Callithrix jacchus: one gene and its partners. The protein of the gene in region 6 interacts with the protein of the main gene of each other region in a pairwise test. Links are inferred from orthologs where the notes say so. Each region holds a gene or a part of one and is shown on either strand. Other genes may lie near its edges.

Evidence for each region.
Region 1: the proteins of HOXA1 (region 6) and MGAT5B interact in a two-hybrid assay, tested with the Homo sapiens proteins (2 studies listed by BioGRID). The two-hybrid records come from large-scale screens. The link is inferred for Callithrix jacchus from reciprocal best matches to the Homo sapiens genes HOXA1 and MGAT5B.
Region 2: the proteins of HOXA1 (region 6) and TRIM42 interact in binary tests that used the Homo sapiens proteins (3 or more experiments, as listed by UniProt). The two-hybrid records come from large-scale screens. The link is inferred for Callithrix jacchus from reciprocal best matches to the Homo sapiens genes HOXA1 and TRIM42.
Region 3: the proteins of HOXA1 (region 6) and SPRY1 interact in binary tests that used the Homo sapiens proteins (3 or more experiments, as listed by UniProt). The two-hybrid records come from large-scale screens. The link is inferred for Callithrix jacchus from reciprocal best matches to the Homo sapiens genes HOXA1 and SPRY1.
Region 4: the proteins of HOXA1 (region 6) and EGFL7 interact in binary tests that used the Homo sapiens proteins (3 or more experiments, as listed by UniProt). The link is inferred for Callithrix jacchus from reciprocal best matches to the Homo sapiens genes HOXA1 and EGFL7.
Region 5: the proteins of HOXA1 (region 6) and ADAMTSL4 interact in binary tests that used the Homo sapiens proteins (3 or more experiments, as listed by UniProt). The two-hybrid records come from large-scale screens. The link is inferred for Callithrix jacchus from reciprocal best matches to the Homo sapiens genes HOXA1 and ADAMTSL4.
Region 7: the proteins of HOXA1 (region 6) and TRIP6 interact in a two-hybrid assay, tested with the Homo sapiens proteins (2 studies listed by BioGRID and IntAct). The two-hybrid records come from large-scale screens. The link is inferred for Callithrix jacchus from reciprocal best matches to the Homo sapiens genes HOXA1 and TRIP6.

The regions. Positions count from the first base shown.
Region 1 is NC_133506.1:132,799,356-132,802,623, forward strand, and holds the end of MGAT5B (alpha-1,6-mannosylglycoprotein 6-beta-N-acetylglucosaminyltransferase B), read left to right. Parts: intron 1-335; coding exon 336-592; intron 593-1,055; coding exon 1,056-1,254; 3' UTR 1,255-2,768; downstream 2,769-3,268. UniProt on the Homo sapiens protein: Glycosyltransferase that acts on alpha-linked mannose of N-glycans and O-mannosyl glycans.
Region 2 is NC_133518.1:43,744,948-43,749,149, reverse strand, and holds the start of TRIM42 (tripartite motif-containing protein 42), read left to right. Parts: upstream 1-1,402; 5' UTR 1,403-1,568; coding exon 1,569-1,909; intron 1,910-4,202.
Region 3 is NC_133504.1:74,302,575-74,306,874, reverse strand, and holds the start of SPRY1 (protein sprouty homolog 1), read left to right. Parts: upstream 1-1,500; 5' UTR 1,501-1,642; intron 1,643-2,317; 5' UTR 2,318-3,206; intron 3,207-3,432; exon of another isoform or gene 3,433-4,300. UniProt on the Homo sapiens protein: Inhibits fibroblast growth factor (FGF)-induced retinal lens fiber differentiation, probably by inhibiting FGF-mediated phosphorylation of ERK1/2. Inhibits TGFB-induced epithelial-to-mesenchymal transition in lens epithelial cells.
Region 4 is NC_133502.1:185,120,567-185,124,820, reverse strand, and holds the start of EGFL7 (epidermal growth factor-like protein 7), read right to left. Parts: upstream 2,801-4,254; 5' UTR 2,569-2,800; intron 1,559-2,568; 5' UTR 1,504-1,558; coding exon 1,451-1,503; intron 1-1,450. UniProt on the Homo sapiens protein: Regulates vascular tubulogenesis in vivo. Inhibits platelet-derived growth factor (PDGF)-BB-induced smooth muscle cell migration and promotes endothelial cell adhesion to the extracellular matrix and angiogenesis.
Region 5 is NC_133519.1:10,457,224-10,461,512, forward strand, and holds the start of ADAMTSL4 (ADAMTS-like protein 4), read left to right. Parts: upstream 1-1,489; 5' UTR 1,490-1,581; intron 1,582-1,747; exon of another isoform or gene 1,748-1,975; intron 1,976-2,362; coding exon of another isoform or gene 2,363-2,600; intron 2,601-2,602; coding exon of another isoform or gene 2,603-2,641; intron 2,642-2,643; coding exon of another isoform or gene 2,644-2,676; intron 2,677-2,678; coding exon of another isoform or gene 2,679-2,801; intron 2,802-2,803; coding exon of another isoform or gene 2,804-3,105; intron 3,106-4,162; 5' UTR 4,163-4,247; coding exon 4,248-4,267; intron 4,268-4,289. UniProt on the Homo sapiens protein: Positive regulation of apoptosis. May facilitate FBN1 microfibril biogenesis.
Region 6 is NC_133512.1:30,997,651-31,001,588, forward strand, and holds the start of HOXA1 (homeobox protein Hox-A1), read left to right. Parts: upstream 1-1,138; 5' UTR 1,139-3,839; coding exon 3,840-3,938. UniProt on the Homo sapiens protein: Sequence-specific transcription factor. Regulates multiple developmental processes including brainstem, inner and outer ear, abducens nerve and cardiovascular development and morphogenesis as well as cognition and behavior.
Region 7 is NC_133503.1:12,855,965-12,859,937, forward strand, and holds the start of TRIP6 (thyroid receptor-interacting protein 6), read right to left. Parts: upstream 2,801-3,973; 5' UTR 2,698-2,800; coding exon 2,589-2,697; intron 2,343-2,588; coding exon 2,215-2,342; intron 2,096-2,214; coding exon 1,853-2,095; intron 1,723-1,852; coding exon 1,351-1,722; intron 1-1,350. Other genes in the region: SLC12A9 (solute carrier family 12 member 9), read right to left, coding at 3,576-3,973. UniProt on the Homo sapiens protein: Relays signals from the cell surface to the nucleus to weaken adherens junction and promote actin cytoskeleton reorganization and cell invasiveness. Involved in lysophosphatidic acid-induced cell adhesion and migration.

The DNA of each region.
Region 1 (3,268 bases), on a different chromosome or scaffold from region 6:
GTAGAAACCAGAGCTTGACTTGAGCATCAGGACAGCTCCAGGGCAGACAGGATGCAGAGAGCCCTGAATCCAAGTCCTGTTCTGTTGTCCAACCCCAAAGCCTTGGGCAGGCGCCGTGACCTCTCAGCTTCCATTCTCCCTGTAAGTGACCTGGAGACACAAGTGTCCATTGGAAGTCAATAAAATAATGCAGGTAAAGCTACCTGGTATTCAGTAAGTGCCCATTAGTGGTGGCTGGTACTGTGGCTTGTACTGGCAGGGCCACACCTTCAGGTGTCCCCCGGGTGTACCTGGCTGGCATTTCCCTACCTAACGCTGCTCCCCCCTCCTTGCAGGACTTCTGCACATCTCCAGGCCCTGCCCAACCAGGGGCCCATGCCCCGCAGAGCCCTTTTGTCCTGGCCCCAAATGCCACCCACCTCGAATGGGCTCAGAATGCCAGCTTGACCCTGGGGGCCTGGCCCCCCGTGAACTCCCTGCGGGCCTGGCTGGCTGTGCCTGGGAGGGCGTGCACCGACACCTGCCTGGACCACGGGCTGATCTGCGAGCCCTCCTTCTTCCCCTTCCTCAACAGCCAGGACGCCTTCCTCAAGTGAGTATGGGCCCCCACCCCCCAGCCCCCATCCTTGCTGGCCCAGCAGGCTCACCATGAGCTCTCATACCCAGAACTGGCCCTCAGCCCTTTCAGCGGTGGGGGATTTAATGCTTTCCAACGAGTCAGGAAGGACCCAGAAGGGACCCTCCAGGCCAACATCCAGGTCACTGCTGCCCCACTCTTGGCCAAGCCTTAAACTAGAGGAGAGGCTCCTTTCAGTCCCTGCTCTCCTTCACCCACTCAGCCCCCTACCCAGCCTGTTTGGGCGTTGTCTAGCCCAAACCATGAAAGCTGTCCTGGGTGTAACAGTAGGGAGCTGTAACACATTTCCTTATCCATTCTGGGATGGGGATGGGCCAGAGAAGGGGAGCAGGCAGTGCTGGGCTGTGGGGAACCCCTACCCTGGCCCAGCCCTTCAGCCCAAGCAACCAATGCTGAGTGATGGTGCTATGCATGCCAGATTGCAGGTGCCCTGTGACAGCACCGAGTCGGAGATGAACCACCTGTACCCGGCCTTCGCCCAGCCTGGCCAGGAGTGCTATCTGCAGAAGGAGCCCCTGCTCTTCAGCTGTGCCGGCTCCAACACCAAGTACCGCCGGCTCTGCCCCTGCCGTGACTTCCGCAAAGGCCAGGTGGCCTTGTGCCAGGGCTGTCTGTGAGGCCACCTCTGCCGCCCTGCCTGGCACCCACGGCTGGCTCTCCCCTGACACAGGAGAGAGTACCAGCAGGTCCTGGGCTCCGGCTGCTTGTCCTCCTCGCAGCTCCCCCAGGCTGGAGCTTACTTCCTTCGCCTGGAAGTGTCCAGAGGAGAGCCGTGCAGAGGAATAGGAGGCGGCGGCACACCGAGCCCCTGGGACCTCCCAGGCAGGCTCCTGGTTCTCTCCTGGGAATTCATGGCAGCATCAAGGCCAAGCAGATGTCGGGCTGCTCGGAGAGTCTGCAGGGCCCAGGAGCAGGTGGTCAAGGCCCCTTGCTTTGTGCAAGGCTGGATCTGGGCCAGATGAAGGGGGCCAGTCATTCTTGGGCCCAGGATGGGGCTTCTAGACCTGCAAGAGAGGGTAGCAGGGACCAGGCTGCCCCATGGTCCCTGAAGGGTTCAAGGAGGGCCCCTCCCCATGGGCCTGGATGGTACCTGCTCCCGGCAGGGGAATTGGGGGCTTACCCTCCTCCTGTGAGGGGAGCCAGGAACACAGGGCCCGCTGGCATTTGGGTTGTGGATGCAGGGGCAGAGGGTGGGTGGAAGGCTAAGCCAAGGGGCCCTGTTCGTGCCTCCCCTTAGCCCCTTTCCTCTCGGTTTCCCGATCCCACCACCTTCCCGCTACACTTGGGGACCACAGTTTGGGCTGCAGGGACCACCTAGGCCCTGGTTGAGTTGTTTCTTTCTCCTGCTTGTTCCAACCCTTTTCACTCCGGGCTTCTCCCAAAACCCATCCTGGCATGACCTGCCACTCCAGATGGTGGATTTGTTCCAAAGCCTCAAGCCCTGCCCCCTCCAAGGGGAGGTTTCCACCCCAGGCTCAGAGAACAGGCTCTGGGACCCCTGCCCGGGGGTGGCCTTTGTGCACCAGGCACTCCCACAGATACTGACTCCTTACCCCCCAGCATCTTTTGCAGACAGGGGCTTGGGATGGAGCCTCAGCCCCATGGCACTCCATGCCTAGTTTCCAGTTGCCCTGTCCACTTACCCAGGCAGCCCTCAACCCCACCCATGTCAAGTCCTTGTCCCTACCTCCAGCCTCAAACCGCCTTGAGATCCAGCCGTCCTTCCCTGAGTGGCATGCCTGCCACAGGACGCCCCCTTCCCCTCTCCCCCCGCCCAGAGCCCCGACTGCCTCAGCGGGTCAGGCCTTCAGAACACTGCCACCACCCAGTTTTATAATCCTGCTCCCTCTCCCAGCAACCCCACCCACCAACCTAGGCCTGCTCCTCCACCCTTCCCAGGAGGCAGCCCCAGGACGCTGAGAGTTGGTGGAGGGGCCAGGCTGGACACTTCCCACAGGAGTCCCCTCCAGACCTGGCTGGCCCCTGCAGCCGCAGAAACCACGATGGCAAGAAACTCATTGGTTCCCAAGGACTGACCTGTGGGGGAAAGCAATAGAGACACTCTTTTTTTCTCTTTTTTTAAAGATTTATTTCTTGAAATAATAAATATTTTATTGGGATGTGAGATGCAGAAGAGGAACTATGCTGGTTCTCTTTTCCTGCGGCATCCAGAGCTCACCCAGGGTGGAGGGGCAGATAGCTGATGTCTCCAGGTTCTGCTCCATGTCATGTGGGGCACACGGGGTGCTCAGGTCTGCAGAGCTGGGTGCTGTCTACTTCAAGCCACCCAAAAGAAGTCCCTGCTGGTGGCAGAGACCCAGGGTCATCTCCTGGCTGTTCCCAAGCTGTGACTGCAGGCACCCTGACAAGCAGTGGCATACTCAGTCATGTCCACGTTGGGCTGGTCTCTGCCCGCCTCCAGCTGGCTGTGACAGTGGCAGTGTGGGGTCAGGGAACACAAATCCATTTTGATAAGAGCCTGAGCCAGATAATGAGAAAATGAGCCAGTGTTTACCACCTCGGGCACTGGGCTGAGTTTGTCGCTTGCTTCAGTAGTCATTTCATGCACTCAGCTGCCCTAGCAGGTAAGTACTATTATATGAATCTTTCCATTTTACATCGAGAGGCACA
Region 2 (4,202 bases), on a different chromosome or scaffold from region 6:
GGCAGGAACAGAGAGAGGCTGCTTATGAGTGTTTTTTGGGGGTGAAGAAAATATTTTGGAACTAGATAATCGTGATAGTTGCACAATTTTATGAATATACTGAAAACCATTTACTTTAAAATGGTGAACTGAATGGTAAGTGAATTACATATTAGTAAGTTTTTAACAAGACCTTACAGAAACCAATAGTAAAAATGTATCATAAATCTGGGAGTGAAACTCCAACCTATGTGCCTGGAGGATGGGGAGAAATATTAATGAAACAGTTTTGGCAAACATGGAGGGAAAAGGTGTTTCACTTTTTTGAACATCTTACATTACTTGCTGGTATTAACTGGCACATTTATTTAAGAAATTTGGCAGTTTGTATCAAAAAAAGATCAAGCACATATTCTGTGATCCAGGATTTTCACTGTTGGAACTCTAATATCAATGTGTGGCTGGCATAGTTGGCACTCAGTGATGTTCTTTCCTATTATAGAGGTGATAACCATAAGGAGAGATAATAAATTATGCACTTAATTCCTGCAGCCAAATTCAGCTCTTCTGCTTTTTACAAAAATAAGAAAATGTTCACACTATAACGTACTATGACCATGAAATTTCTGTTCCTTTAATCTTCGCAAGCTGCATAAATTGGAAAGTGAAATTTTTCTGTAAAATATAGGGTCTTGTTTCTAAGGATCCTGAGCATATACTAGCAGAACAGTGAAAGATTTCATGTAGAGTTCCAGTCTCTTTTTAAAAGGCATGTAGTGGGGTGGGAATAGGGTGGGGGAAAAGTGAGCAAGCTTGAGCCTCACCCAAACACCATGAAGCTACAAAAAGCCAAGAAATATTCAGATTGGCTTATGTATAAAGCTTCATGAAAATGAGCAGTGACTATGCATTGATTGATAAAATCAATTACTACTGAAAGAAGTCCCTAAAGTGAATCTATGTGTTTTTTAACTCTCTCCTAATGGTGATATCTCTTTAAATATCGCATTGCTATTATCTGGGGGATATATAATTCCTTTGTTCAAATAGAATTCTATCAGTTCCTCTAACATGAAGAAAACCATGTTATTCTACTTTGTACCCAAGCCTTTCAGTCTATGAAGACATAATATGAAGTCAACTTGCCCAAATTGCAGGCAGAACACCAAACAAGGAGAAACAGCTTCCGAAATCTCCATTTTCCAAAAGCTGACAAATGACAACTGAACTTCCGGAAGGCTCACTGCATCACCACTCCTCTACAGCTGGTTCCATGGAAGCATGGAGAGCCCATCAACATACCTGCTACACCCACAAGGCCGCATCCTCCTACCCACCCAGCATGGTAGAGAGAGAGGGATTGTGACATAAGCAAATACCCTCAGGCTGATATATGTAAATGCCAGCCTATGAGCTTCCTGGTAGGGACACCAACAGTGAACGCCTCATAACAGCCAACTTCTTGCAACTCCCAAGCTGACGGCCTCACAAGGGGGAGGAGAGACTCCTCTACTGGAGAACTGATAGCAGTATTCTGGTAGAGGGGGCATCAAAAATCCTAGCGGGGCAGTGTTAATCATGTAGGCACCATGGAAACTGCTATGTGTGTTTGCTGTCCATGTTGTACATGGCAGCGATGTTGTCCTCGGTTATGCTCCTGTCTATGCTGCAAGTTCATCTTTACCTCAGAGCGGAACTGCACCTGCTTCCCCTGCCCTTACAAAGATGAGCAGAACTGCCAGTTCTGCCACTGTACCTGTGCTGAGAACCCCAACTGCCATTGGTGTTGCTGTTCTTGGGCCAATGATCCCAACTGTAAGTGCTGCTGCACAGCCAGCAGCAACGTCAAGTGCTACTACTATGAGAGCCGCTGCTGCCGTAATATCACCGTGACTTTCCACAAGGGCCGCCTCAAGAGCATCCATACCTTGTAAGTGCCAGGCACCAGATGTGCAGCCACATTGGCTCAGGAAAACTAGGGACCCCTTGCTAGCTGTGAAGTCCACAGGGCAGGCCAGTGCCCCTCTGTGTTTATTTATCTAAAAAAAAGGAGCCAAGAATTTTGTAGCAATTAACTGTATCATATATGGTCACTATGTATGTAGACCATGAGCTCCAATCTAAGCATCATCGACTAGAGCACTTCACTCTTCTGAACCCTCTCTCATCTGTACAAAATAGTAATAGCTAATACTTGGTGTTTACACAATTTTCCAGGCATTTCATGCATAACCCAAAGTCCACTGTTCTCATGAGGAAACTGAGCATTTGAGAAGTTTCCTTCTCAAAGGAAACTTTGAGAAGAAGTTGCCCCAGGATGACACAGCTGGAAAGATTCAGAGTCAGAATTGGAACCTAAAATTTGTGATCTTAACTCTAGAATGCTGTATTGCAAAACAGAGACAAGACCCCCCCACCCCCATGATATTGTAGATATAAGAATTAATGTATATTCTTTATAATCTGCATGTTATAGAAAAATAAAAAGTGCTCATTTTCTTCCTATTAACTCTAAATACCTGCAACATTTATTGGAAAAGTAAGACCTTCTATGGGGCACTTTTGACCCTGAGAGCCATTTAAGTACCCCAGACATCCAGGAACTCCAACTGCCTTCTCTTTTTCTCATCCAGAAGTCACGGAACTTGGGGTCTCAATTATTCATTTGGAGTACTAATCCTCCATATCAGGTCTTACATTATCCTCACCTGCTCTGCCAAACAAGCCTTTTTATGTCACACATGAGGGGAGTCTGAAGTACTAAGAGCACACTTCTTAGAAAAGATGACAGCACTATAAGATGACAGGATTAGAAGAAGCAGAAAAATGGCAGGCCAGTTTGAAAGCTTTCAAGCCTGGAAAAGCAATTCTGCAAGCAGAAGTTTAGTGAACTTAGGGGAAAGATATTATCCATCTTGCCATTAAATCTTTAGTAGCTCCTTAACACCCATAACTCTCCACCTATGGCCCTCTCATAGTATCTGCATAAATAGGAAATCCAGGGATTCTCAGTCCAAGTCTAGAAATACTAAAGTGTGGGAAATAGTGTCCACATTCCTCTCTCAACTACCTAATTCTCTGTGCAACAGCAACTGAGCCTCTGAGCCCATTTCAACAGGAAAAAGATAAAATTGGTCTTTAGGAAAATGCCTCAGGCATCAGTTGCTCCCTAACGTTATTGTGCATTGAAGTCACTTGGGGATCTTTAAAAATTACTGATGCCCGATATCCACCCCAGAAACATTCTGATTGTATTGGTCTGGGGTACCACCTGAGCATCTGAATTAATGAGCATCGCCCCTTCAGGTGATTCTAATGTGCAGAATGGCCTGCAGGTGCAAAGGTGGGAAGCCAGGAGATTTGACAGGTGATACAGTAAGAATCCAGGTGCAAGAACAGGCCTGATTTTGGGAGAGAGGGGAGGCTGTGCAGAGGAGCAGAGGCAGGCTATCTCAGCAAGAAGATAAAGCACTGGTCTTGATGCTGCTTTGGAATGGAACCATGGCCACTGAATGCCCTGACCAAGCCTGAGGTTTGTGGAGGATGCGCAGGGATGCTAACGCATGTGTCAGGAGGTTGGCTCTGGGTGCTTGTCTTCAATCTGGCCTCTCTTCTGGCTTCTGACTCTTGGCCTCCTCTGCTTCTCATCACCACTTTCTGCTCAGCACCTTGCTTGTTCTGCCTCACTCTGGTCTCATTCATCCCTCTCTACCTTACTCTTTTTCACCTCTACCACAGCTCCCTAGGCCATTAATACCTGTCTCTTAGCCCTGAGCCCTCTTTCTCGTCCTCCAACATCTCCCTCCCTACTTCTTATTTATGAAAATTCTAGCTCATGAGCTTCCTAGTAGGAGTACCACCTGTGAAGGACTCACAACAGCCTCTTTATATTATACCTTGATTCTCAAGGCCTTTTTTTTTTTTAGCAAACTAAAGACCTGTACCTCCAGGTGATCCCTTCGGGACACAAGCAGGAGTCTGGGAAAGCAGAGAGGAAACAGAACTGAGAACATTGAGGCCAGCATGCCTAGAGCTCCCAGATCCCTAAAGGACAAATTTTTCAGGTGCCTTAGTCTACACAGGGAGCATTCTCTGTCGCCACATGGCCACTCCATTCCAATATGCTTGGGAAGTATCTGTGACTGTGGACTCAGACATAGGTCCCTGGCCAAGGGAGGGGGGAAGAAGAGAGGGACACATAAGGAATGCAAGACAACAAAAGC
Region 3 (4,300 bases), on a different chromosome or scaffold from region 6:
GATATGACATTCTGTGTTTGATTTGTCTATTCCAAATACAGTCACAAGAAACATATCCATCACTGGTAAAATTTCATTACATCCCAAAATCTAATGAGATCTAGTTAAAAAAAGAACATACAATACAATCAATTTTATGCTTTTAAATAGCCTATTTTAATACCATTCATAATATTAAGAGTGAATATGTAGCTTTATGTGAATATCAAGCTTTTTGGCTTCTTATTCTATGCAATTTTCTAGTGATGCTTTTTTATTGTTATTGATGTCCTTAACAATGCCCTGTGTTCTTTAGTGGAATTCCAAACACAACTTTAATTTTTGAATGTGCTCAGACATTTGAAAATCCCGTGTGTATGTGGAAGTGTGTGTGTGTGTGTAATGTATGTATATATTTACAAGTTTCAACAGAAGTGCTTGCTATTGTAAATAAGGAGACTAAAAATGCTTTGAACTAAAAATTTCGATACTCATGTTCAAGTATGACTTAGATTCTGGAGTTTTGTTTTTGTTGCTTTGTTTTGCCAGACTTTAAGCTACTCCTGATACACAGTACCCGAAAAAATATTTCCTTTCCACTAACTATAAGTTTGGTTTTTAGGTGGCTTTTAAAAGTTTCTATGGAACCTTAAATTCCACATATAGTTATTCTCATTGCAGTATGAAAGGCACAATTTTGATAGCAAATGTCTAAAATCCCGTAGTTTGTAAGAAAGCAAGTTTCCTACTTAGTGTTTTTTTCCCAGTCACATCAGATATTACTAAGAATTATAAAACTTCTTGATAAATGTTTTCTATTATAATTGACTTTTAGCTAATTAAAAATATACAGGTTGGTATTTTTGCAAAATTATACAACTATATTACATAATGGAAAGAATTTGGTTTCTTCTCCATGTGCTTGATTTGTGGGAAATCATATAACAAGCCAGGTATAGCAATTATTTTTTTAAAAACCCAAAACAGAAAATGTCCCCATTATTACATATCCTCATATTACATTTGCAGCAAGACATGCCACCTTTTGAACTTTAGATTTCACATATTCTGAACTGTGTTGTATATAGGAACTGTAATATTATATAATCATCTTTTTGTGTCAATGTACATTTTCCCTCTAGTTGTTCAGAAGTGATGGCTTGGCATACAACTTTTTTCTTCTTTTATTCCTAACAATTCTTTTCTAATTCAACTTAAAGAGTTCAAAAATCCTTTTAATTGAGATCGACAATTAAAGATTGCTAACTAAATCCGAATGTATTCCTCTATGACAAACTGCATTTGCAGAATTTGTAGAGGCACTCCCGAAGTTTTAAGAGGATGTTTATTACACGAGTCTGAAGGGCAACGTTTCCAAGTTGATACACATAAACGAAAGAGGAAACGAATTTAAGGAAATCCTGTTCCAGGTTTTCGGGCAGCCCGAGAGATTGACACATGATATCACCGGAGGCGTGTCCCGGAGTGGAGGTGGAGGTGGAGGCAAGGAGCTGAAATTCTGCGGAGCCGGAGTGAGATCGCTCTGTAAAGCACGCAGTGGTTTGCAGAGTGATAGCAGCAGGCAGAGTTCCCTACCCTGGATAAGGAACAACTACAGTCGCTGTAAATGTGCCTGAAAAGCAATTTCCAATCTTTGCATTAGGTAAGTACCGTTTCCTTCCGTAGACATTTTAGGAAAGATAAGGTGAGAAATGTTGACTTCTGCAAGGAACTGAACATTGCTTTGAACTCGCGTTCGAGCTAAGATTATTCATTGCATTTCAGAACACCGGTTGCATTCCCATGCTAAAAGTAATGCTCTTAAAGTAAATGCTACCGCTAATAGAAAAAGGATCCCTTTCACCTTCCTTTCCTTAACCGAACAGTAGCAAGTTGAAAGTCTGAAACGATCGAATGTGTGAAACACAGGGCCGTTAATGCCTTTATACGAAGAGGGGCTGGCACTTGGTGTGTGGACCAAATGCGTGTTTGTTTAGGCATTGTTGGTGACCTAATCCCGAAAGAAGCATTGGTTTAAAACCTGAATTTCCCGTCTCTGTGTATTGATTGCTAACGCGCAGAGGCGTTGCTTGAACGTTGTTTGAACTTCTAGGCATTCCAGGGGGCAAAAGCACCTCGGCAAAAACGTGCAGGACTGCATGTTACTTTGGTTCGCGGCTGACACGCCGACTGTGCGCCGGCCTGTCAATCACTGGGAGCAGCAACAGGGAGCACATGGCAACGGGCTGCGGGCGAGCTGGCCAGCGGCCCGCCCCGCGTCCTAGCCCTTCGAAGAAAGGGACATTCACGAGCTTCTATGTCTAATCCTCTGTCGCAGGCATTTCGGACGTGGAACTGCAGGCTCGGAGGACTGGGTGTGAGCGCTGCCCCGGAGAGGCTGACCTGCCAGGACCGGAGTTTCCGGGGACGCTGTGCCCCCACTTGCCCTACGTGTGAGATCGGCAAAGCGCCTGGGCCTGAGCGGGGAACGGGACGACGCCCGCCTGTCTCCGAGAAGGATCCCCAAACCTCGCTCCCTTAACCCCTCCCCCCTAAAAACACGGGTAAAAAGATTCCCCTCCCCCTACCCGGCCGCGGCGGCCTCTGCCTGGCAGGCGCGTGCTCCAGGGTCTCGCGCGGGGCTTGCGCGGCTCCGTGACCCGCCCGTCGACTACGGTTCGAGCCCTGACCCGGACGCCGCGGAGTCTCGAACGCCCGTGACGTGGATTTTTCGTTCGTCAGGAAGCCGCCATCCCTTCCTTCGTTCCCTGAGAGGAGCGACCAGAACCGGAGACGTACTCTGAGCACACCGTGCCGTCAGCTAGCCCGTCACGCACTCGACTCTCCGCCACTCCCCTGCTCGTTTTTCTGAGACTCGAAGAGCCTTCCCGAAAGGATTTGTAAAAACTGGTTCTTAGAAAGGGACTGCGGAAGACCTCGTGAGGTGGATGTTACTGAGCCGCCCGGCGAGCGCCAGCCTTGAGAGGTCCGGCCGGGGCCGCGCGGAGCCGCGGGAGAACTGCCCTCCGCAGCCGGAAGGGGGCCGCGAGGAGCGCTCCTGCCCGGTGGCGGCAGGGGCGGGGGAGGCCGCGGGCCGAGGCGCAGCAGCTCCGGCGATGCCGCCTCGCCCTCCCCGCCTCGGTTGATGCGGCGCGTGTACGCCGCCGCGCGCACCGGGACCTGGGCCGGGTCGCACGGCTTGGCCCCCAGCCACCGCTTCGGCCTAGGTGAGTGTGCGGCGGCCGCGCTCGGCCCGCGGGGCGGGAGGCGCGCAGGCGGGGCTTGCTCGGCGCGGCAGGTGCGGACTCGGCTGCGCGGCTGCCCTGGCCCGGACTCCGGGAGGGGAGGGGACAGGAGGAAAGAGGAGGGACGACCCTGCGCGGCGCGGCCCCACCCGCCCCCCCCCCCCACCCCGGGAGCCGAGGCTTCTGGAGCGCTCGAGGTTGGGTGGCTGGGTGGGGGACGGTCCGCGGCGGCGGAGTGTAGCGAGACAGGGTCTCCCCGAACCCCGGTTACCCTGAGCGGCGGCACGGTGGCCTGGATTGTCCTCTCCGAGAGCCCTTCACCCCCGAGAGGGATTCCAGGCGGCTCTTGGGGTGTCCCCGGGGGCCCTCTGTGTTGAAGTGTGCTTCAGGCATGGGACTGGCAAAGGCTGTGTGTGTGTGTGTGTGTGTGTGTGTGTGTGTGTAGGGAAGCTATTCCCCGGAATTCACCGGTCACCCCTCGATAGATTAGCCTGTCCCAAAGCCAGCCGCAACTTTCTTCTTCTTTTGAGCTCAGTGTAAAGGCGAGGGAGAGGGCACTGCCACTTTAAAAATGGGGAAGTCGACCGGGAGCGGTGTCTCACGCCTGTAATCCCATCATTTTGGGAGGCCGAGGCGGATCACCTGAGGTCAGGAGTTCGAGACCAGCCTGGTCAACTTGACTAAACCCCGTCTCTACCAAAAATATAAAAATTAGCCGGGCGTGGTGCGCGCGCCTGTATTCCCAGCTACTCGGCAGACTGAGGCAGGAGAATCGCTTGAACTCGGGAGGCAGAGGGTGTAGTGTGCCGAGATCGCGCCACTGCACTCCAGCCTGGGAGACAAAGTGAGACTACGTCTAAAAAAAAAAAAAAAAAAAAAAGTGGGGAAGTCCGCCCTCCTGAGTTTGTGCTAATCTCAGCCTCCTCCCCTCCTCTTGCCGGAGAGAGGGAGAGAGAACTTGTTTTCATTCATAACTTTTTCCCTTTCCTTCCTCTCCGTCAACTATTTATTCAGTGCGGATTGCAGAGGGCGCAGCTCCACCGTCGTAGCTTACAATGTGGCCATCCCTGCGCTGG
Region 4 (4,254 bases), on a different chromosome or scaffold from region 6:
TGTGGGCCACAGGATACTGGCCCTCCCACAGGACACCCCCAGATGTGTGTGACACAGCATGGGAGCCGGGAGGGGCCCCAGGCCAAGGCAGAGACCAGCCTGACACCAGTGGGGGGTGTCAGGTGGCGAGGCCCAGCTGGAAGGGACTGGGGTGGGCAAGGCAGGCTGAGTGGCCTGAGAACACCCTATTCTGTGGGTCCCTGAGGCCCATGGTAGGGGGTGGCGGCATGGGGCAGGCCTCAGCACTGTGACTCAGGCCTCTTCCCTAAGATAGCTGCCAGTGAGGCTGTGAGCCCTGCCCTGGAGATGGACAAGCAGGCCCGATGCCCCCAGCCCCACTTCCCAGGGGTGCTCTGGCTGGTGGCAGACTGGGGAGGGATGTGGGAGATGGGGTGATAACGGGGTGTACTGGTAGGTTCCCGGGGTTCCAGCCCTCAGGTCTGACCCTCAGCTTCCTATTCAGGTGGCCGTGGGCACCTCAGGCGGAGCGAGGCATTGTGGCAATGGTGGGTGGGGTGGGAGGGGACGAGGTGTGGAAGGGAGCTGGGCGGCCTCGGAGGGCACAGCTGGAACCCAGGTGCTGGAGCAGGGCCTGGAAAGGTCAGTGTGCCCCACCTTTCCAGGGCTCACAGGAGGCCGGGCAGCTGGGAAATTCCCCACTGGACTTTGGCGGGCAGGCAGGAAACCTCCCCTACAAGTGACACCCCTCCCCCCAAGCAGGGACCAGCTCCCCTCTACCCATGGCCAGGGAAGAATCTGCTCTGCACGCCGGGCTGTGCCCAGGGCTCAGGGCCTCACTCTTCGGGCTTCAGTTTCTGCACCTGCCCCATGGTCACTAAGATGGTTGAAGGGGGCAATTCTGGCACCAGACACGGCTGGTCTGAGCAGGAAGGGCCTCTTTCCAGAGGGGGCCCCTGCCCCAAGGTTGGAGCAGATAGGCAGAACCCCCTTTTCCCCATCTCCTCCACACTAGGCCACCTGGGATCTGGCCCTTACCCTACTGGCTGCACCCTCAGCCCCCCTGTGCCTTCCTTGGCCCCCTGGCTCTCCCACCCAGGGGCTTCTTCTGCCCTGGCCAGCCTGTCCCACCAGCATATTGGGGCCCACTAGACTTGTGCCCCCATCCTAGGAGGTGCCCTCTTGCCCTCCACCTGTGTCACTGCAACCTTCCCCCTCCCCCCTGCCCTTACTCCTCTAGATCTGTGCTGGCTTCTGGGCGGAAGGACCCACAAACCTGGGGTGGGCTAGGTCTAACTCCTTCTGTGTAGAGGGAGAAACTGAGGCCCACAGGGTGAGGCGACTGGCCCAGCTGAGCAGGGAGGCCAGCAGGGCTGGGATGGTGTGTAGGAAGCTGCCTCACCCTTCCTTCCTTCCTCCTGTTGGGGAGCCCTCTGTCCCCCAACCCCAGCTTGTCCTGTGCCCCAGCCTGGAGCAGCCCCTATCAACAGACCTGTCTGGCCAGGGGGCGGCTGCAGGCAGGAGGAGCCAAGTAGCTGAGTGCATGAGTCTCGCTGAGGCTTCGCCGGCTGGGGGCCTTCCCGGTGAATGGAATGCTGGGCTTGCAGGCCAGGGGGTGAGGGCAGAGTCTGAGTCCTCCCCACGCTGCCCTTCTGGCATTGGGGTCTGGGTGCGAGCCTGGGGGGCTGCGCCCAGCCTGCTGCCAACTTGTTTTCACTGCAACCCCCTCCTGACAAGCTCTGCCCTGCCCCCAGCCCCTCCCCAGGCCAAGACCAGACCCTCCCCAAGGGAAGGAGGCCCCGGCTCAGGCCCAGAGTGCCAGCTGTGCCCTCTCCTGTGGCCTGGAGCCACCAAGGGAGGGGTACTCTACTCTCTTGGGCTCCCAGAGCCTAAGCAGCAGGTGCAGGAGGTGGGCTGGGGTGTTGCCCTAATGCCAGGGTCACATCAGGTACCGAAGGGTCGAGGGATTGGCAGGGGACAGACATGCTTGCTGTCTGTACCCTCTTGGACTCCAGAGGGTACTGGGGGTGTGGGGGGTGGGGCCGCCCCCAGATTCTGCTTTGGGTGGAGCGCACTCTGTGCCCAAGGCCTAGGGCTCAGCAGAGGGCAGGCGCGCCCCTCCCTCACCCTCCCGTCCTTGGAGACGCCCCTTCCCTGCCCTTGCCGCTCTGGTGGCTTGGGTTTGGGATCATGGCACACACAGTCTCCTGCCAAGACTGCAGCCCCACGGAAGACAGCTCGGGCCCACGTCTGGCCCCCTCCCTCACTGCAGGGGCCCAGCACAGAGGGGGAACCCAGTGGGATTGGCGGCTGCCCCGAGGCCTGCATGTGTCCTCATCTGGGCACTGGGAGGTCTGGAGCCTGTGGCCTCACCCTGCCTGGGGTGATGTCAGAGACGGAGGCCCAGCAGGGGCAGGAGCTGGAGCTCTGGTCCCAGCTTTGTGCCCCACACAGGCCTCAGTTTCCTCATTGGCCCTCCTGTCAGTAGGGCCAGGTTGTCCCAGTGACCTTCAGGCTGCCTGGGAATGCTCTGAGGTTAGTTCTAAGGGGAGGCCTTCAGGCTGCCTGGGAATGCTCTGAGGTTAGTTGTAAGGGGAAGGGCTGCCTTACCTTCCCAGAGTGCCCTGGCTGGGCGGAGAGGCGTGGAGAGGTCTGGCGGAGCCCCTGGGCCCTCCTGGGCTTCCTGGACCCCTCACCCAAGTGCTTTTGGCCTTTGCAGTCCCAGGAGAGGGCAGACTGAGCCCCTGGCAGAGGCCAGTCTGGGTATCTCAGGTGGCCAGAGGCAGAGGGGCACCAGGCATGGCCGCGGAGCCGGGCTGCAGGAGGTGCTGGAGAAGGGAGTGAAGCACGTGCAGGAGGGATGGGGCTTCCTGTTTACCCCGGCGCCCCCTGGCCTCTGACAGCTGGCTCTGTCAGCCACAGATGTGGTGGAACCTTTCCATCAGAGGATGTGCCTGGTCCCCACCAGTCCCGGTCCCAACGGGGGCTGAAGGGAGGTGCCAGGCAGGGGTGCCTATGGGCAGAGGAGCCTTCTGCTCCTGAGAGAGGGTCCGGGCAGGGAGAAGTGGGTCCCCCAGCCTTTCCTCTCCTCTCCCTGCCTGCTCGGGCCCCTGACCCCTGCACCGGAGCGACACTCTAGAGCTGAGGGGCTTCCATTTTCAGCGGAGGTTCACAGGTAGAAGCCTCTTGTTCAGTGGGTGGAAAGCAGAGGGCCAGGACCGGAACCCAGTGGCCAGGGGACCCCACACTCTTGCCTTTGCTGCTCCCTTCTCCCTGCCTGGGGCCGCCCGCTGCTCCAGCTGATGCCTTGGAGACATCCATGGCCTTGTGGGCTGGCTTCTTGGCAGGTTCCCCTCAGCTTTGCCTCCAGAATGCAACTGAGTGTCCTTTCTCCCGAATTGCCCCTACCCTGGTCCCATCCACCCTGATTCCTGCCTGAATGACAGTCACCCCTCCTCGGCCTTGCTGGGCGCCGCTGCCCCTCACACTTGGTGCTCAGGGAGCTCCATGGAGGGCGACATCGGGTCATGTGACCTCCTCCCAAGGTGCCCATCATGCTCAGCACAAAGTCCAATCCCGCCCATGTACCACCCTGCTGCCCAGGTACTTGTCCACAGAGCAGGGCCCGGACCTGGGATAGGTGGCCTGCAGCAGGTTCTGGGAAGGTGCAGAGCCCTCACCCCCCACCGGGCGTGTCACCCAGTGGTAAACTTGAACTGCAGTGAGATGTGGGCTTAGAGATGGCAAAGGGAGCCTGAGGGGCCTGTAGCCTGGGCAGGAGACAGCCCCTCGGCCACACCCCAGGGCCTCAGAATCCACATGTTCCTGTTCCCCGAGGCCCTCCCTCCGCTCTCAGCCCAGCCAGGTGTCTCCCCTGCAAAGCAAGTCTCTTCCTAGGGATGAATTCTTCTGTTTAAAGAGTAAGATTCTGTTGGCCGTGCGCCATGACTCACGCCTGTAGCCCCAGCACTTTCGGAGCCCGAGGCGGGCAGATCACCTTAGGTCAGGAGTTCAAGACCAGTCTGCCCAATACGGTGAAACCCCGTCTCCACTAAAAATACAAAATGAGCCAGACATGGTGGCTGGCGCCTGTCATCCCTGCTACTCTGGAGGCTGAGGCACAAGAATTGCTTAAACCCAGGAGGCGGAGATTGCAGCAAGCTGAGGTTGTGCCACTGCACTCCAGCCTGGGCAACAGAGCGAGACCTCAGTCTCCAAAAGAAAAAAATTTTTCTTCACCTTCCTACATGAAAAAATATGACAATATAGCAATACTACTACAAAATCATCAGAATG
Region 5 (4,289 bases), on a different chromosome or scaffold from region 6:
GCCTGTCTTAAAAACAACAAACAAACAAAACCTTTAAAACACTGAATAGGCTGGGCGAGGTGGGTAATCCCAGCACTTTGGGAGGCCGAGGAGGGCTGATCACCTGAGGTCAGGAGTTCGAGACCAGCCGGACCAACATGATGAAACCTCGTCTCTACTAAAAATACAAAAATTAGCCAGCGCCATGTCAGGCGCCTGTAATCGCAACTACTTAGGAGGCCGAGGCAGGAGAATCGCTTTAACCTGGGGGGCGGAGATTGCAGTGAGCCGAGATCACGTCACTGTACTCTAGCCTGGACGACAGAGGGAGACTCCATCTAAAAAAAAAAAAAATCAGTGACCATTTATTATCTACTCTATGCCAGCCATTTTACATATTTTATTTATGCATTTATCTTTGAGACGAGGTATTATTCCCGGTCTCTCTCTGTCTCAGTGTGGCACGATCGTAATTCACTGCAGCCTCAGGCTCCTGGGCTCAGGCGAACCTCTCACCTCAGCCTCCGGAATAGCTAGAACTACAGGCTTTCACCACTCCGCCCAGCTTCCATATATTAATTTTTAATATAACCAATAGATGGATTACTCTTGTGGTTAAAAATTTCATAAAAATAACATAACACGTAGAGTAAAAAGCAAAAGCCGTTTTCATTCTTCCCCCCACCCTGCCCTGCTCCCCAGACGCCACCAATACTTCTGAGTTTGGAGTGCATTCTTCCAGATGTAAATGGATAGAGACATCTCCAAGCCCATCATACATATTAGATTAGTCCCACTTTGCAGTTGAGCAAACGGCACCACACCGAGGTGGAAGTATTCACCGAAGCCCACAGAGCTGGCAAGTGCCGGAGCTGAGGTTCAGAGCAAGTCAGCCTGACCCAGAAGTCAGCACGCTGTCCTTCCGCTAAGTCCCGAGTGCAAAACTTTACAGAGGAAAAACCCGAAGCTCCCAGAGGTCGCAGCAGTCCGAACCACAGGGTTCACTGCCCAGCACGGGAGAGGCAGGAGTGACTGAGCTCGCAGGGAGGCCGCGGGAGGAGAGAGCCTGCACCCACGCGGGTCGGGGGCCGCGGGCACCCCCGTCCAGGGCGCCGCCCTCCCAGACCCACGGCTGTCCCAGGCCGCCCGGCTCCTGGCGCCCCTGGAGGCTGCCCCGCCTGTTCCGCGCCGCGCTCGCACCGCCCACCCGAGCCTCTCGGAGGCCCGGGCTGCTGAAGTCCCGAGTTCCAGCTGGGCACGAGGACAGCGCCCGGCAGCGACGGCCGCCTCCGACCCCGGCCGGGCCCGCCTGGGCTTCTCCCCACTGCAGCCGTCGGGGGGCGCCCGGCGCGCAGCCCGGGGTGGGTGGCCCTGGCGAGCCGGACCGCAAAGCCGACCGTCCACACCCCGGGGCCGCCGAGGGGCGCGGGCCGGGGCGCGTGGCGGGCGGGGCGGGGGCGGGCGAGGGGGCGGAGTCGCGGCCGAGGCGGCGGTGCCCGGAGCGCGGCTCAGGGGCCGCAGTGGCCGCCGCGGAGCGAGGCTGCCGGGAGAGAGCGCCCGGGCGCAGAAGGGTTAACAGGCCGCCGGGGGCGCGCAAAGCAGGTAGAGACCTCCCCGGGACCCCGCCCCGGCCGCCCCTTCCCCGGGTCCCGTTAGACCAACGGCCCCGCGCGACCGCGTCGCCCCTTCTCCCTGCGCTGTGCGGTCGCGCCCCTGCCACGACCCCGGCCCCAGTTCCAGTGGCCTCGGACATCTTCCAGCCCCTGGGGTCGAATTCCTGGGGAGGGGGTCTGATCCCGTGGAACTCTGGCCCCATCACACGTGCAGGGAGTGAGCGAAAATTCCCCTAAGTCACATAGTAACGTTGGAAAACAGACCCACGACCTCCACGAGCGCCTGGAGCCTCCTGCCCTTCCCCCAGGACGGTGCTCTGGGAGGCTGTGCCCCGCACTGCGCTCCTTGAGTTGGAGGAGCAGGGTCGCCGTGAGGGACGCAGGTGGGTGCCCTTGATGCAGCTCAGCCTGATGGCAGAAGAGGCTGACAGGAAAGAAAGTTGTTGGCGTGGCCTCCCAGACCCAGGAGTGGAGGGCTGTGTGAGGACCAGGGAATTGAGGCACTCAGACAGAAACACAGGGTCCAACCCTTCTCCAGAAGTGCCCCATGTCACAGAGGGAAGCCCTCGGGGTGAAAGGGTGAGCCCTCAACAGGTCTCTTTCCTTGGTCTTCACTGGGTAGTGTGGGGAGGTGTGGCCAGGTGGAACCAACGTTAGTCCAGACCAGGATCTAGCCTGGCACCAGAGCGACCACCTCTGACCTCTCCTGTCCTTGTCCTGGGCCAGGAGTGACACCAGATGAGCGACATGGAAAGGAGTCAGAAGCACAAATGTGTGTCTGTTTCGGCAGGGGAGGGGGCATGGGCCCCTGCTGGGCTGCACAGGGGAGGGTGGAGTGGGACTTTTCCAGAGAGGGAGCCAGGCCTGGCCCTGGCCCCGGGAGCTCACGTCACCCCCACCCCTCACTTCTCCAGGGAACTGCCAAAGCCAAACCCAGCTCGGGACGGGATTATGTGTACTGGGTAGACCCGGGGAGAGGGGCAGCGACAAGGAATCTGGGAGGCAGAGAGCGCATGGAGAGGGGTTGGCATCAGAGAAGGGGCAGGCAGTGAAATCACCCCATTTCTTCTTCCCTCAGCTGGAGTAAGAGGCAGAGGTTGAAGACTTGGGTGGAACATGGGCCCTTCTCTGGAGACCCTGGCCTCTGCCATTCAGTCAGGGTGGAGATGCTGACCTCAGTGGCCAGCCCAGCCGGGGGAAGGAGTGGTCATCACAACCCCCTTCCCAACCCGAAGCCATTAGGCGGCTCTGGCTCAGCCACTCTGACCCCTCCCTCACATTCCAGGCCCTGGGTCTCAGGGAGGGCAGTGGGGCTAAGCGACTGCTCCCAGGCACATTCCTACCCTTCTCTTGGTCATTTTCCACCCCAGAGCTGGCCCACCTCAGCAACGTGAGGGCTCCCTGGATTCCTCTCTCGGGTGCCTTTCAGAGCCAACAGCAACAGCTTTTTTTTTTCCTGGAAAGCAGAACTAAGAGTGGGGTGAGGAGCAGGGGTGGGAAGGACTCAAAGTGAGAAGGGGGCAAGGAGAGTGAGGCTTTGTGGCTGGGGAGGGTTCCAAGTCTCACTTCTCCAGTGTTCAAAGCTGGACTTCAGATGAACTTCTCGGCTCTTCAGAATGTGAGGCCTGTGGCTTCGGCTCGAGGCTGCACCTCTCCCCCCGGGTTCCCCAGCCTGTAGAGCTGCACAGGAAGCAAATCCTCGCTGAACCAACCCGGATGCTGGCACCCGGGGGTGTTACATCGCCGGCTTCTTCTCTAGAGATTAAACCATCAATCCACTTAGCTTATCCCTTGGCCAAAAAGCGTCTGAGACGTGCTTTCCGTAAGGAGCTTATCTAAGGAGGGAAGAGAAAGCGGGAGGCAAGCAGGACACAGGCCGGGCGGGTCCTGATTCTGGAAGACCTAAGGAAGGCGCTTCTGGTGGCTCCTCTGAGAGGGTCTGCACATCCTCAGTGGGGCCTTCCTCCTCTGCTTTCTAGGTATCTGGGAGGGCAGGGGTGGGAACCGATGACAACCATTCTACAAGGAGCCCTCTAACTAGGTGTGGTAACTCACACCTGTCATCCAGCGCTTTGCCCTTGAGGCCAGGAGTTCGAGCCCAGCCTGTACAATTTAGCTGGATCCCATCTCCACCAAAAATACAAAAATTAGTTGGACGTTGGTGGTGCTCGCCTGCAGTCCCAGCTACTCAGGACTGAGGAGGAAGGAGAGCCTGAGTTTGAGGCTGCAATGAGCTTTGATGGCACCACTGCACTTCAGCCTAGGTGACAGAGTGAGATCTCCATCTCAAAAAAAAAAATGCCTTTTGTGTGTGCCTGAGCTAGCCTAGAAACAGTCCCTAGGTAGGACTTGGGGAGGAGCTAAGAACCCCCTACAGGGCTCAGGGGTGGGGACTGGGCCTTAATTGGAAGGCTGAGGTCAGCTCCCAACCATGTAGCCTCTACACATGGAAAAGGCAGCCATCCTCCCTGTTCCCATGCTGAGGCTCATAAAGGGATGGGCAAGTCTCACCACCTTCTCCATCCTCTCTGGACACTGGAGAGGTAACCGCCAGGCTTCTGTCCCTGCAGAGAGCACCCTCCACGCCCAGATGCCTGTGTAGTGTTTGTGACCAGTCTGCTCCTCCCTTGCCCTGGGGCAGCAGAGGGAGGAGCGATGGAGAACTGGGTGGGCAGGTGAGAGAAGGGGATGGGGGGG
Region 6 (3,938 bases):
ATAAAACAAAACAGTGATTACTATCTGGAAAATGCACCCCAGAAAAGGTTCTTTCCAACCCTGTGGTTCAGTCACTCTAGGATTCTTTTTTTTTTTTTTTTCCGGGTCAGAAAAATCAATATTTCATTCTTAAAACTGTTTACATTGTTAATAATGGATCACTAAAGCTTCGAAGTCAGGTTACCAAGTTGAGATTTAAAATTGTGTGTTTCTACACCGTAGGTTATAAATTAAGCCAGTTTCTAGAAAGAGAGAAAAGCACTTTAAATGAAATACCAATAAAACGTGATCTAGGGTGTGTCACTGGGTTGTTGCTTTTTCCCCCCTCCCTTCTTAGGTATCCCCATGTTTATTTTTCCCTTTCTGAGCTCTGTTCTTACTTACCGTGAGAAAATGCAGCATGTAAGCAACATGCGTGTGGGACGGGTTGATTTAAGAACCCAGCTCTTATCAGCAAAGGCTTGAAAGTTCCAAGGAAAACGCAATGTTTCTTCATAGATTTGCTCCCTACCTTCCCTTGCCCCTTCCTCCACTAAATCTCAGCCGCGGCGGCAGAGTGTAGGGACTATGGCTGGTTTCCGGCCCCAAGCTCATCGCGGAGCACGGCGTCCTGGCCGCGGCCAGGGCGGCGCAGCTCCTGGATACGATTCGTCCTACGCTCATAAATCAAACGCTTTCTATGAATGAGAATGTCGTCAAAGAGATCAATTGCAGGAACACATGCACAAATAAAAATCCTCTTACGTATTTGCCGGGGATCCCCGTCCGAAAGCATTAAGTTAGAAGGCGTTTAGTCATAATTCATTTTTATTGCTCTTTTAAAACAACAGCTTGGCTGAGCTGCGGATGCCATGAACAGCTCAGGGCCTCGGCAGCGTTTTGTTTCTTCCTTATTCCTTCCCATTCTAGTAAAAGAGCCCTGAAAGAGGCGTTTTGAGCCAAGCAAACCACTTGCAGGCGATCATTTTAATCTTGACCAAGCTTGCCTTTCACCCACTCTCCCAAGGCGTTGCAAGAGACCAGTGCGAATCTTCGGGTGCTGACCTACTTGCCTAGAGGGCTAAGGGTCTCCTACTCCGTGGAACGGCCCCCAGGATTTCTAGGGGGAGGGAGATTGGGAAAGAATTGATCGAGCTACAGAAGCCAAAGGCTCAAGGCCAGGGGAGGCTGCCTTTGTGTGCGGTTCCCGGAGAGCGGCGCTCTGGGCTGCCAGCCGAGGCACAGCCGGCCCGGCTGCGAGCGCCCGGCCTGCAGGGAGCCAGGAGCAGTAAACAGAGGAGGGCGGCCGCGGGCCTGTGTGCTAGTGCAAGCTCGTTATCCCAAGAAAAGGACTCCACCCAAGATGCCCCCGAAAAGAGGCCAGGAGAGAGGAAGAGAGGCTGAAGGAGAGCAGCGCCGAGACGGCGGAAGTAGCAGAGGAGGTAGAGTGGCTCCAGCTGGGGTTGGCTTTGTGGCAGGCGCCCTGCAGCCGAAGGGGTCCTGAAAATCCAGGCTGAGGAGGACAACCAAGGTACAGGAATGAGACAACAGGGGAAAATGTACCAACTTGCTCGCTCAGGCTTGGAGGGAGGAATACTCGCACAGCCAGCACTTACCTACCTCTTCACATCCTGTCCCCTCCCCCACAGGAGTTCCTTCTCTCCCCGCTGCGGGAAGCTGGAGCTGGCAAGGAAGCCGCCTCCAGGAGGACTGCCTTGCCTTTCCCCTTCTCCAAAACCAGGATTCCCAGGAGCTGAAACTGGGGCAGGGGTGACCTTTCCTGCCTGTGCTCCCTCTTAACCATGCTTGGGATGGATCCAAGTCACAGAGAAATACCATTCCAAAAGGAAATGTTTGGGGAGAATGTTTCATTGCTACTGAGGGAGACCAGGGTCAAAGGTCTGCGTGGATTTTCTTTCTTGAGGGGACAGGTCTGGGGGGAACTTCAGTAGTGGAGAAGAGAATACAGAAGACTGAAAGGGTGACTAACATATTTGAAATGTGCCTGCCTTGAAAAAAAAAACTTCCTTGTTCTAACGGGAGGAAAGGCTGAAGGGGAGTGGAAACTCCAGACCCACATACATTCCTCACTATAAATTTAATCTGTCGGATTCCAACTTTGTACACATGGTTGGAGTAAAATTTATACAGCATTGGCTGTAAAGCTTCTTGGATGATCTCTCGATTTCTCCTACCCAAGATTGCATCAGTTCTTGATCTGTTTGGGTTTTTCTCTCTACAAGCCCAGGGTTAACGTGAAACCTAATAGTAAACAACAATTAACTACCCCATCAGCCTCAGGGTAGAAGGAGGGTGATGGGGAACAGGACCCCTGGCCTGGGATGACACTCAGATTTGCACGTGTCTTTCTAGGCAAAGACTAGAAGGTTCTCATAAGCAACTACACAGTCCGTTGGAAAGGGGAGGAGGTGACGTTGGGGTAAAGTGTTCCGTCCACCATCAGCCATCTGTCCACCGCCACTCCCACCTGCCAGTCCCCACACCCACTCCAGACGTGCAGCACAATGAGGGGGGTTATAAAAGGAAGCTCTCTCTTTCTTCTAACATCCCTCTCCAGAAAAAAAGGAACGCGAGGGGAGTTCAGCGTAATTTGTTGGAGCTGTGGACTGGCCCTGTGAGGCCCACGCAGGCTCCTGGGTCTCCGGGAGCTGGCAGATGGCCTGCAGCACACGGCCCGGCCCCCACGCTGGCCACGTCATCTCTCTCCCCCGCCCCCTACCCCTCAAAATCCGGCGGCTAGTAGTTCCGCATCCCGGAGGGTTCCCCGTGGAAAACTGAGCGGGGGAGACAAAGGGGCGGAGGAGGGAGAGAAAGGGGCGGAGGGGGAAGATAAAGGGACGGAGGGGGAAGAGAAAGGGGCGGAGTGCGAGGAGAGAGGGAGGGTGGGGAAGAAGAGCCTGGCCGCCCCCGGCGTTTTCGGGGCTCTTCCGCCCCCGCCCCCGCTCCCCCACCGCCGGTCGAATTACAGAAGCTCCTCATTGCCATGCTAACGACGAGAAAGGGTAGTTGGGAGAGAGTTTCGGAGACCATCCAGGAGAGAGGAAAGTTTCTTTCTTGCCCTCGTCTCCTTCACGCTCACCCAGCCAGCCCTCTGCGCTCTTCCTTATCCATTCCGAGCTTGGAGAGCCGGTGGCCCAGCCTCGCCCTCCGCCACGGTTTTCTGCGCTCCTCACAGCCCCACGGCCTCCCAGTCCATCCTCAGAGCAGAGGAGTCGCCCTGGGAACCCGGGGCACTGTGTCAGCCGGATTCCCGGCCTTCCTGCTCGGCGCGCTCCAGGTTCGGCCCGCGTACTTCCGGCCACCTGGCCCACTGATTCCCGCCCCGAGAGAGCCGAGAGGCCTCTTCCCTTCTCACCTCTCGCCAGTTCATCTTTCGGTGCACGGTGGGGAGGAGGAGGGGACGGGGACGGGGGACGCCTCCCAGCCCCCACCTCTCGGAGGCCGGAGGGGGAGGGAGCAGCGGAGTCGGGCGCGCGCAGAAGGCAGGCTCTGCTCTCCTTCGCCGCAGCACACCGAATCGGCCTGACAGTCGCTGCCGCAGCTGCCGCCGCCTGGGCTGCCTGGGGGGGCGACTGCGCGTCACCTAGATGAAGGAGCGCCGGGGATTTAAATGCCACTGAAATGGTGATCCATCACCGCGGAAGCCGGCAAACTTTTGCAGGAGGCTCAGCCATTGGTTGACACCGTCACGTGCCCCTCCCATAGCGTCCTCCGCCCTCCGGCCCCCCCCTCCTGCGCACTGTACATTCATGTCATTTTTCTTCTCTGGTCCCATGGAGGAAGTGAGAAAGTTGGTACGGTCACCCAGGGCTTCGCAGGACCAGGTCACTCAGTGACAGATGGACAATGCAAGAATGAACTCCTTCCTGGAATACCCCATCCTCAGCAGTGGCGACTCGGGGACCTGCTCAGCGCGAGCCTACCCCTCGGACCACGGG
Region 7 (3,973 bases), on a different chromosome or scaffold from region 6:
ATGGGCAAGCAAAGCTCATCTGTATCTACAGCCGCTCCCAATCATCGCATTACTGCCCCAGCACCGCCTCCTGTCAGATCAGCAGCAGCATTAGATTCTCATAGGAAGCCTTCACGGAATCACATGTGCATTCAACGGCTCTAGGTTGCGTGTTCCTTATGAGATTCTAATGCCTGACGATCTGTCACTGTCTCCCGTCACCCCAAAATGGGATCATCTAGTTGCAGGAAAAGGAGCTCAGGGCTCACACTGATTCTGCATGATGGTGCGTTGTAGAATTGCTTCATTATATATTATAATTATATAATTTCATTATATATTATAATGAAACAATTATACATGTTATACATATTCTATTCTATTAGTGTTATCATAGAAATAAAGTGCACGATGAATGTAATGCGCTTGAATCATCCTGAAACCATCCCCCCTGCCCCAGTCTGTGGAAAAGCTATCCTCCATGAAACTGGTCCCTGGTGCCAAAAAGGCTGGGGACTGCTATATGTCCCTGAAGATGGCCAGGCAGTTCCAGCTAGAAAGCTCATTTGAGAACATCTCAGCCAAGGGGCCAGTTATTTTTTGTTTTTTGTCTGAGACGGAGTTTCGTTCCCTCTCGTCACTCAGGTTGGAGGGCAGTGGCACAATCTCAGCTCACGGCAACCTCTGCCTCCCAGGTTCAAGCAATAATCCTGCCTCAGCCTCCCTAGTAGCTGGGATTACAGGCATGAACCACCATGCCCAGCTAATTTTGTATTTTTGGTAGAGACAGAGTTTCTCCATGTTGCTCAGGCTGGTCTTAAACTCCCGACCTCACGTGACCCACCCGTCTTGGCCTCCCAAAGTGCTGGGATTACAGGCGTGAGCCACTGTGCCGGTTCCCCGTGGGCAGTTCATCCCTGCACCACCCCTCCCTGTATTTCCTGACCCGCTCCACATCCCAGACCTCTGACTGTGCTCCAAAACCAGCCCCCTGGCCAGGCACAGTGTCTCACGCCTGCAATCCCAGCACTTTGGGAGGCTGAGGCAATGGATCACCTGAGGTCAGGAGTCCGAGACCAGCTTGGCCAACATGGTGAAACTCCATCTCTACTAAAAATACAAAACTTTTCTGGGCATAGTGGCATGTGCCTGTAATCCCAGCTACTTGGAAGGCTGAAGCAGGAGACTCACTTGAACCTGGGAGGTGGAGGCTGCAGTGAGTCGAGATCACGGCACTGCACTCCAGCCTGGACAACAAGAGCAAAACTCCCTCTCAAAAAATAAAAAACCAGCGCCCTAGAACACCAACCTCCCCACTAATCAGTGTCCCATTGCCTGTAAGAGCTGACATCCCAGTTCCCCAGGGCTTACCTGGGGCCCGTGCTCGCCTCCTCTTGCTCCTCCTGCAGGGCCAGAGACCCCAGCAGCCTCCTCCTTGGCCCCCGGCCCCGGCTCTCTCTGGCTCCTATAGCCAGGTCCCCAGACTTCACCTCGGCCTGGGAGAGGAAAGTGGGGGCCTGGGAGGGGCCCAGAAGCCTGAGAGGTCCCCCGCCGGGGCGGGCCACAGCCCCTCACTGGCTGTGCCACCTTCACTTGCACGGGGAAGGCAGGGCCAGCTGGGGTACTGGCAGTAGCATAAGAGGCTGGAGTGGGGCCCCCATAGGGAGACGCTGGGAGCGGCGAGGCCAGGTTCGGCTTTAGGGAGCCTGTGCGGTAGGCAGGAGGTGGCGGGGGCTCATATGCCTAAGGAGAAATGCAGACCAGAAGCCTAAGCGAAGCCCCCACTCTGGGACCCACATTTGTGGAAATGACCCCGAGTGTGGGGCAGCACGGGTGTTTGCATTTGACAAGGTCCCGTCCTCAGGTGACTGACATGTTGATACTTGCAGCCACGCTTCCTCCATGCTGGGGTGCACAGCACACACATGACGGGGTAGACTGAGAAGCAGGAGGCTGCAGACGGGAAGGAGAGGCAGGACTGGGGAGTCACCTGTCGGTCTGGTCGTCGTGGCGTGTGACCCCGACCCCCATTCAGCTCAGCCAGCGTGCTGCTCAGCAAGTCTATCTCAGCGTCCAGGCTGCCGGGGCGCAGGGCACTCCTGTCTGCAGGGAGCCCCTGGGGTTGGAGCCAGAGCAGAGAGAATACAAATCGCCACGACCCCACTCCCGCCCTGGCTCTCTCACAGGCGGTTCTAGGGGACCCCGCACGTCCCACCCAGCAATCCCAGTTCTCACCTGCGTGCGCTGGGGTACTCCATGGGACCCCACCCAAGCCGGCCCCCGATCCTCTGGTGCCCCTGGGGCCTGGTAACACTGCTCTGATGGGAGGGGGCAAAAATTGCCCCTGGGGTGGGGCTGGAGTGCTGGGTTGAGGGAAGAGAGATCAAAGGTGGGGTGGCGGAGGACAGGAGGGGTGTGCATTTGGGGCGCTGCCCTCTCCGCCCCTCTTTACCTCTCCCCCGAATCTAAGGTCCCAAGAGATCTCGGGCAGCTGTTCCCATCGGCTTGGGGAAGGGGCAGGAGGAAGCCGGCAGGGCAGGAGGCTGGAGCTGGAGGACAGAGGTGAGCGCCATAGCGGGGTGGCTCCTGTCTCACGAGGGCTGCCTTACCTACTCCGTGGGCTGGTGGTGGCCCCGGGATGCCTCGGGGGATCGCCCTCCCCTGAGGGGCTCTGGTGGGCTCCGGCTGCTTCGGGGGCAGCCAGGTGGGCCCCGACATGGCCTAGAATGGGGAACTCCGGACAGCGGTCTTGAAGCCCAGAGCCTCGGGCCTTCACCCCCTCTTCCGTCCTGCCTCGTTCCGGACTCCAGAAAACTTTTCCTGGCTTTTTTTTCCTCTTCCTCCCTAATTTTGGGGGCGACCACGCCCCCGATGACGTCACCACATTCCTGGGGGAGGGTCACGTGGGCCCCCTAGGCCCTAAACTGCCATTTCTCTCTGAGTCGGCCCCCTCCCGCCGAGAGGGAAGGGCTCTCCGAAGGAGCCCGAGTCACTGGGGGCTGTGGGCAGCTGGGAATGGGAGGTGGGCGCCCAGGCCAGTCTCCAAGTCCACAGATGCCCCCTGGGCCCCGCGCCCCAGCCCTGCACATGGCAGCCTAGCTACGGGAAGCTGAAGGTCCTATCTCCACCCCTCTGCAGAGCTCTCCTTTCCCACCCCCTCCCTCTCACCTACCCACCAGCGCGGCTCAGCCAGCCTGTAGTGTTTTGGTCTTTTATTCATGGTCAGCAGAGTTAGAAAAATAAAACAGAATGAAAACATCACCACCCCAGTGGGCCACTGAGTCTGGCCAGGATGAGGAAACTGAGGTAGCCGAGAGTTCGGAGGGCCAGCCCCTAGCATCAAGGCACCAGTGAAGGGAGGCTGCGGACTCCCTCCCCTGCATGGTGGGGATGCCCGCCCGGAGTTACTGTGCTGGGGTCCCTCTGCCAAAGGAGGTGGGTGTGACACCCAAGCCCAGAACCCCCTCAAATCCTCCCCTGGGATCCAGGTCCCGAGGGGCAGGGCCACAGGACACAGTGCTTCCCTCCTCCTCTTCTAAGGTTCAGGATGGGCTGCCTGCCTGGGCCCTCTCTACCCAGCCCTGGAGGCAGGGGCATCAGAGATCAGTGCAGGTGACCGGGGTGACACCGTGAACCAGCAGTGTGGGGCCCAAGTCTCGGCTTAGAGTCTCCAGTAGCGCCAGGTAGCGGGGGTAGCGGGCAGGGTCGGCGGGCGGCCGAGGCAAGTACAGGAAGGTGAGGGCTGTGGTGGGGCCCTCGGCATCCCCACCCTCCGGCCCACCCGGCCCTCCTCCCGTGCCACGCCCCTGCTGGGCCCGAACCAGGGCGTTGGCGCTGCGTGCCAGGGCCTCTGCCTCCATGTCTCCCTGCCTACTGTTCACAAAGTCCCCTTCCTCCTCTGCCTCGGGTTCCCCAGCCTCAGCCCCCTCACCCCACACCACCTCCTGCACCTCAGCCCGGATCCGCAGTTGGCTCAGCAGCACCCGCAGCCGCC